2 linked regions of the Tribolium castaneum genome follow. The protein of the gene in region 2 purifies or fractionates together with the protein of the main gene of each other region. This does not show direct contact. Links are inferred from orthologs where the notes say so. Each region holds a gene or a part of one and is shown on either strand. Other genes may lie near its edges. The genes, in order: mts and tws.

Region 1 (4,581 bases), on a different chromosome or scaffold from region 2:
TGGATGAATTTAAAATTTTAATTAACATGAGTTTGAAGATTTACCAAACAGGTATTACCAGCTTAGTAGACCGGACTGATTTAATACTCATAAATATCTAAAAATACCGACCGGCAAACTTTCCTTGGCGAAATTATTGTTCCCGTAATAAATTTTCCGCAAGAATGTGAATTATCCAGAGCAACTCCAAGATAAACCAGAATCGGGTCAAGGTCGCAATGTGATGAATTCATTATAATTAAGGGTGTTTGGGGTGACAAACGCTCGAGATTTCCATCCGATAAATTGTTTGGAAGCTAAATAGATTGACGTGGGACCTTGAAAGCAATTACTTCACGTTCGACTGGTTTCAATTTTTTTTTCGACTATCACATTAAATGGAAAAGCAACGTTTTACTAAAATTAAACTTGTGTCACTTTTTTCCCCAAGTCTAAAGTTTCTCTTTAAAAGATTTACGTGGTAATTTGTCACCAGAGAAAGGGTTTAATGCCCTCACAGGTTTTTTTTCAACTAGCGACATCGTAAAATATTCATAACAAGACAAGCCAGAATCAATAACTGGCAATTTTTTTTATGAGAGTCGTACGAAATTTACGCAAAAATCCATAAAAACGAAGCCATGAAGCGAACGTCTTGTATCGATTCTGACAAATTAAATCAAATTAAAAACGACAGCGTTAAAGTGGAAGATTTATTACGAGGTGGTGTCGGATTTTCGTTTATTTGAGCAGATTTACCGAAAAAGTTTCAGATTAAAACGAACAGATTTGGCATCTTGTTTTTAAACAAAATCAAGTATTTATTTTGCTCGATCAATCCACGATAATCATTGTTTTGTTGAGACAAAAATAAATTCTTCTTTTAGAAATACCTTTTCTTTATCAGTGACGTATTTATTTACATTTAAGAAAATTAACATTGATTAACTTAATCAATAATAGACAATACGAACTTTTTTCAAGTTTAATAATTAATTTTCTTATCAACCTTTACTAAAAACGAGGTCTTTTATTGCACAAGACAAAGCCGGATCAATGGAGAAGAGCGCCAAATGAATTAAAAATTAAATAGGAAAAGTAATAAAATTTTTGAAGCAATAATTCACGTTTTTTGAAGAATTTTGCCTCAAAATAATTAAACTTTCGTACAAGAAAAAATTCTAGTTTGTTCCACGAATTTTTAGTTAAAAAAAATGAACAAAATTTTGGGACCCAAAAAATTAAACCAACATTTTGGCTAGATTTTTCGGATCGTTTTTGATGAATTTTATTAAATCAATCACGTCATTACACGTAAGAGGCAATCGATCATTACTTTTTTATTCCTGTTACACAATAAAACAAAATCGTATTAAATTATCGGTTAAACTTGTCAGCTTTTTGCGGATATTAACGCTAGTTTTACATGAGATAACTCAACAAATTGTAGTTTTTTGAATGCATGAGAAAGGTAATTATGACTTAAACGACAAACTGCCAATTCAATTAATTGCATAATTTCCAAAACAATAAGATGATGTAATTTATTGAAGAAGTGTATCATTTTCGAATGTAGCCATGCTCTAAAAATGCTGCCCCCCTTACTCACCTCTTGCAAACGATCTAACGCCCTAATGTGATCCAAGGTATCAATGCTGGGACTGAGTCCTCCATGCAGACAGAAAATTTGACTATCGACGAGCGCCGTCAAAGGCAAATAATCAAATAAATCCGTAAAGAATTTCCAAACGTTTGCGTTTCCGTATTTTCTCAAACACTCGTCGTAAAAACCGTAAACTTGGGTGATTTGTCTCGACTCGTGGTTACCTCTTAGAATCGTTATTCTTTCTTTATATCGAACTTTGAGAGCTACTAGGAGTGTCACCGTCTCCACCGAATAATAACCACGGTCTACATAGTCACCCATGAAGAGGTAATTCGTGTCGGGACTCCTTCCTCCTATCCTGAACAACTCCATCAAGTCGTGGAATTGGCCGTGGACGTCCCCGCACACGGTTACAGGACATCGCACTTCTTGTACGTTCGACTCCTTCGACAGGATCTCTTTCGCCTGGAACAGGGAAAAAATGACATCACACGATGACTCATTGATGACGACAGAAAAAACATAACCTAATTTTAGCTCGGTCAGGTCAAGTCAAGTCAGGTCACCTTTTTTAGTGAAGTTTCTCAGTCATCTTTGGAAATTTCTGGCCATATTAGGAATGATAGAATGCTTGTGTTTATGACTTTGAATTGGAAAACATGAAATTTGGTTGTAAATTTTGAATTTCGTTAGCTCTTCACCTGGTTTAACCACGAGCCGCCACTGATTCATTCGTAATCATCGGTATGAATCAGTGGTTTGTTTGAGAGGATCTGATAAAAGATCGGGCTCCAAGGATCTAAAGTGCTTATTTTATTAGAGATAACGTAACCAGGACTGTAAATAAGGAGTAAACTGGCGGTGCTAATTAAAATAAACACTTTAATTGCGTTAATTGGAGCGAACACGAATCGATTCAAGGGACTAAAACTAGGCAAAGGGGCGATATTTACCTTATCACATAGTGTCTTTACTTGATTTTCTGATAGTTGCTTACAGTCATTTAACTGTTCTATCCACTGATCCAGTTCTTTACACGACGCTTTATCATCCATTGCTAGCGGTATCTGGTCATACACACGAAAATAAGTTAGATCATAAATAATTACACTAAACTGCTCGAAATTCGGTTTGTTTCTCTACATAAATTACTCGTTATTTTAGTTTTTATCTATTCTCGGATGAACACACCAAAATGGCGATTATGTGGTGGATTTAATAAGACCTCTAGCGGCGGCTTTGTACACTCACACCACCGACCGGGAAACTCAAATCGAACTCCATTAATCACGGACAGAATTTTACCTGGGGCGGTTTGTCGCATAATATTGACACAGCGGACGTCGGAGTTCGAAATTTAATCGGTTTTTGCGTTTGGGGGCTTTTCATTGCTTGTAAGAGACAGTTTGACGCTTTGTTGACATTACTCAAGCAAGGTCGTTTGTTTCCCAGGCCCTGCCCACGCCGCTTGATTGGCCGGTTCAAATAACAAAAAACATGATAAATTAAATAAAAGGTGTGACATAACGCAGTTTCCACAAAAAAATCGTCAAAAATTTGGTACTAGAAATGACCAAAGGTAAAAAATCTTGAAGTACAACCAACTATACAGGAAACTGTAAATGTTCAAGTACCACTTTTTGCACAAATTGTAATGAGGGGCTACAACAAAGTTGTAAAAACCGTTTGGTTTTCAAATTATGCAAAACGTAAAAAAATCCAGGCCCTCCAACCGGTGTGGTTAGCTAATCTAGTGACTAATAGTGACTTTTCGTTGCGTAATGGGTGTTTTTGTTCGGTTGGCAACTGCAGAGCCACCTCTCTCTTCCGTTCCCTTTTCTTTTTGAGCCGGTCTTGTGTGAGGAAGGTCCTCTGAAAAATGTCCGAAACCCTTCAATTGAAAGGCACCCTTTTGGGGCACAACGGCTGGATTACGCAAATTGCGACCAACCCCAAATACCCCGACTTGATTTTGTCCGCGTCTCGAGGTAAGAACCCAAATTCTAACCCATAATCTCCTTTCTAATCCCCATTTATTGGTGAATTACGCAACCATCCGCTTGAAATTTGCCCCAATTTCGCCAAATTGGCCTTCGGGAGCATGTTTCCCGTGGATAATTTCCGATTTTGTTGGTTTTAGACAAGACTTTGATCGTATGGAAACTGACACGTGACGAGACATGCTACGGGGTGCCCCAGAAGCGTTTGTACGGCCATTCCCATTTTATTTCTGACGTTGTCCTGTCGAGCGACGGTAATTACGCCCTTTCTGGCTCATGGGACAAGACCTTGCGTTTGTGGGACTTGGCTGCTGGGAAAACAACGCGTCGATTTGAGGACCATACCAAGGTTTGAAACATACATTTTTACCGTTTTACAGTTTTGATATCTCACGTTGCAACAGTCGGAAGATTTTTTGTTTTTTTTGTATTAACGGCGACTGAAGTTGACTGTTGGGCCCCCTTGTGTAAGTATCGTGAGACATATTAGGCTAGTCCTACCAATGGGTGTGTTAGCAATCATTCGCAAAACTTAAAAATGTATCTGTTTAGGATGTCTTAAGTGTGGCTTTCTCGGTTGATAACCGCCAAATCGTGTCAGGATCCCGCGACAAGACCATCAAATTGTGGAACACTTTGGCCGAGTGCAAGTATACCATCCAGGACGATGGCCACTCTGATTGGGTAAGTGTTCGGAGAAATTTCCGACGTGAGTTCTTTACAACACGAGCACGGCGAGTGCTGCATTATTAGTAGTAGATATGTTTTTTCTTTTCTTGTTAAAAGTTGTTAAATTTACTGAAAAAAAAGGGTGGCGACTATTTTTTTATAATCTACATTTTCTGACGGTATGGATGATATGGACATTAAATTAATTAAATATTTATTAGAAGCTATTTCTTTATCTGTATAAACTTTAAATTTGTGTCTCGCATGAAATTTTTTATTAAATAGCTTTAAAATATGAGTTACGTGTGCAATGTCATCAAGATAAAT
Region 2 (3,824 bases):
TTTTTTGCATGTGCACGTATTGCTCTGTATTTATGCAAAGGTAGTAAATGGCTGTGAGGCAAACTTCTAATTTGCTACTGATTTACTGTCTAAGTAAAAAAAACGTAAAATTCGAAAGATTTATGCCTCACGACCTATTAATTTCGTTCTATATTCTTGGAGATGATGTGTGTTTTACTCCGACTTCATCAAGTTGTATCACTGACTTGATTCTACCGTAGGATATAATTCTAAGTACACTTAGTTTTAATGGTTTAATATTTGTTTGAATAATAGTCTTGAATTAAACGTCATTAAAATATGTGAATTACAGTTTTCACTCTCACGTGCCATGTTTACTGTTACATTGGGACGAAATTAACCCCGTTTAACGGGTAAAACAAGCATTAACTTTAGAGTTGGCCGTTAAAGCAAATAGAGCACAATAACGATAAAATCGAACCTGTCTCAATAAACTTAACAAAGACATAAATACTTACTGGATACGTTTCTATTGGCTTGGTTTCCATGTGTAGATCCCAAACTTTAACTGATAAATAGTCTCTAGATATCATATATCTGCCGTTATTCGACAACTTAACATCGGAAATACTCGATATAATTTCGGAAAAGAAACTCCTATTCGTCGGATCTTCGGGTTCCTCGAACAGTTTAGCATGTCTGTCGCAGAGGGCCGCCGCCCTCATGTCACATAACCTAATTGTACCCTTACTACTACTGTAAACGAACAGGTTGCACTCGACCGGGTGAAACTCCGCCGCCGTTATAACTTCGGTTAATTCCTCCATGTTCGTCGGCTTGATATCTACAATATTGAAGCTTTGATCGGTAATTTCTAGATGCCACAGGTTGATCCGTAGATCGTCGGCCGATAGGTAGGTCTCCTGGTCCGAATTGACCGAAATCGAGTTGATGTGGTAGGTGTGCGCGTTGGCGAAGATCCTCCGCGGCGACGCCTCCACCATCAGCTCCATGGGCTTGATGGTGGGCACCCTCAACGAGCTGACATTCATTGGATCGATCAGCGAGCCGTTCTCCGAGCGAGTATTGTAGCCCTCCACTTTCTTGTCCCGCTCCGACACCTTCCATAGCTTGATAGTCTTGTCGTTGGTCGACAAAAGGAAATGGGCAGGATTGCGACGTTTCAGCCATCGGATCTTGTTGATCTTCTCTTCAATCTCTAAACTCTTGAGGTAGTCGAATTCGGGTTCGTGTGATTGAAACGTCGAGTACACGTTGTATTCGCCACGTCGTGGAAATGATGTTTTTGACGTCGGATCGCGTTGGAAGATCACTACGCGGCCTCCTTTGTCCCCTGTCGCTAAGAGTTCACCGTCGTGGTTGAACTCCACGCAAGAGATTATATCAGCTTCGGTCACGTCATCGTCGAGCGTTCCCTTCACCTGAGCAAAGCACCACTGCACGTCTCCATTGCCTGAAACAAAAACACACCACGTTTACGCAAAATGTTAAAACAACGATCGATAATGATTTTTGTATTTTAGTCCAGGCGTACTTAATTAATAAGAATTAAGTCCACATACACTATCGGAAGATATAAGTAAGGCAACATTTTAAAAAAATAAAGAAATTAATGTGCTTTTTACATGCAAAAAATTATGATCTGACAAATTATTAAAGGGGACACTGTCACTAACGTCAAGTCATTATTTATAAAGGCTCAAAACATCCGCTTTGTTGACTGAAAGTGTTAAAAAGAATGGCGACAATTTGACTTTGTTGTGAAATATAGTAGATTGCTTAACAAGTAAAGAAAAGTTGTGGTTTACAGGCCACTGAAAAGTTTTCATGAAATAGTTTTAGCCACTTTTCTTACGGGTTGAACATGCTATTTTTGTATCCATTCTATAGAACACCAAAGAATATTTTAACAAAAATCGTTTTCTGCTATATCTGACTACTTGCCTATTAAAAGTAAACCGTAGCTACACATGACAACAAATTAAATAAAACAGAATTTTATCAGAAGATAAACGTTTGAAAGCAATTGAGAAGAAGAAAATGGCTTTAGGAAGAGGCAAGAAAACCTCTAAATATGATTACACCTAAATCATAAGAACAATATTAGAACTTTTGAACAATTCTGTCAATGGCGAATCAATCAAAGGTGACTGTACAACGCTCAAATTGCTCTAACTCAGAATATTTTCGATCTCATGGTACAATATTATAAAAAATTGTCATTTTGAATTCAGCCATGAGCAGATCATCCTTTGCAACAAGAGTTCATTCACTGAGTCATAGATGTTTTCTTAAACAATGAGAAACAGGTACATATTTCAACTATCTAGATACAGCGTGTCTAAAATAATAATTTTCGTTACGACAAAAGGGGACATTTAAACAATACTCCAAAACTGAAAAAAGTTTATAACACCGACACATTTTCTTCAGCAAAAATTTTAAACTTTGTTAAATCATAGCCAAGCATTAAAATACGTCAAGCAAGGAAATAAATTGGTAACTAAAATATTTTTGGTTTAATCGTCTACTGAAATACCGGGTTTTAGTAGAAATTGGGTTAAATTCCCAGCTTTTTGGCAACACCGCGCATAAAGATTTTAAATGCGCATGCGTTGTTGAAAAGTAAGAATTTCTTTTTGATTTCTTGATGAAAACGGGTCACAGAAAAGTGGCAATGAACCGTATGAATAAATGCTTTTACTTGTAATAGTAAAAGATAGACGTAATTTACATTTCACGAGAAAAGAGGATAAAACTACAGTAAAAGCTTTTGCTACTTTTTATGCATACTACCCAACTAAATACCGGGCGTAAACATTAAATTTAATACACGCTGTTCAGAAATGGTTTTTCATCAAGTCACCTATGAATTTGAACGTTACCCGCCGTTCAATTTAAATTGTGGATGCCAGCAAAGTGACAGATCAGTCAAAGTAATGCAAAAAGGCTTCGAATCTAAAAACGAAAGAAAATAACAAAAAATATAGTAATATCAAACACAAATCAAGACAAGCTCAACACTTGAAACAACTTTGCCGAAAAATGCACAAAAGTGAACAAAAACCTAATTTTAAATTTTGACAAAGATGACAGTACCCAGAAAATACAATTCGGAAGTAAAATTACCATTAGAGGCGCCACTGAGCTAGGTCGAAAACAGTAACCATAAATGGCGAGAAAATGTTTATTCGGATATTTGAGCGTTGTACGAATTTTGAGGCTTCACAATTATTGCATTGCCTCTGCGGAATGAACAATTGTATCTTTGATTCAAGAAACTTATGTTGACAAATGAGAGATGACCAGGAAATCAGGAATAACGAATGACTGTTTAGTTCACTTTCTTTATTGAAAAATTATTATAAAGACATTGAAAAGCCTACCTTTTGGCATAATTTACGTTTAAATGTATCAGCAGTTGTTAATCTTAATTGTAGTTTTGTAGATTTACCGAAGTATTTCATGATTCTTTCAGTGGAAAAATTCTAACCTAAAATTCACAAACTTCACTAATTTATTGGTTTCTTGAGCCCAACTTTGTGTTCGCTGTGATCCATTACTTATAGTCTTTAATTAGATAACTGTTTGATAACATTTTGAAATCAAAATTGAGGCTTTTTCACTTTTTATCCACTTCCAAGTTCCAACAACAAACACTTTATATCACGAAAAACCGCAGAACCAAAGTCAAAGCTAGTTCTTACCATCACGTACTTTTAAAGTGATTCTTTCTAATGTAAGTAATTAATACTACATGCAAAATTGTTAAGCAATTCATTAAATGTGGAATTACGAAAATTTCTTTACTGTTTTCAACATAGTTCAAAAGTCACCACCAG

What was found.
Region 1: the proteins of tws (region 2) and mts purify together in Caenorhabditis elegans (affinity purification with western blotting; 3 studies listed by BioGRID, with this or other methods). This does not show direct contact. The link is inferred for Tribolium castaneum from reciprocal best matches to the Caenorhabditis elegans genes sur-6 and let-92.

What each region holds. Positions count from the first base shown.
Region 1 is NC_087399.1:654,946-659,526, reverse strand, and holds the start of mts (serine/threonine-protein phosphatase 2A catalytic subunit beta isoform), read right to left. Parts: upstream 3,040-4,581; 5' UTR 2,975-3,039; coding exon 2,891-2,974; intron 2,653-2,890; coding exon 2,539-2,652; intron 2,051-2,538; coding exon 1,589-2,050; intron 1-1,588. Other genes in the region: small ribosomal subunit protein RACK1, read left to right, coding at 3,465-3,573, 3,726-3,934, 4,138-4,269.
Region 2 is NC_087395.1:13,629,922-13,633,745, reverse strand, and holds part of tws (serine/threonine-protein phosphatase 2A 55 kDa regulatory subunit B alpha isoform), read right to left. Parts: intron 1,436-3,824; coding exon 480-1,435; intron 1-479. UniProt on the Caenorhabditis elegans protein: Probable regulatory subunit of serine/threonine phosphatase let-92.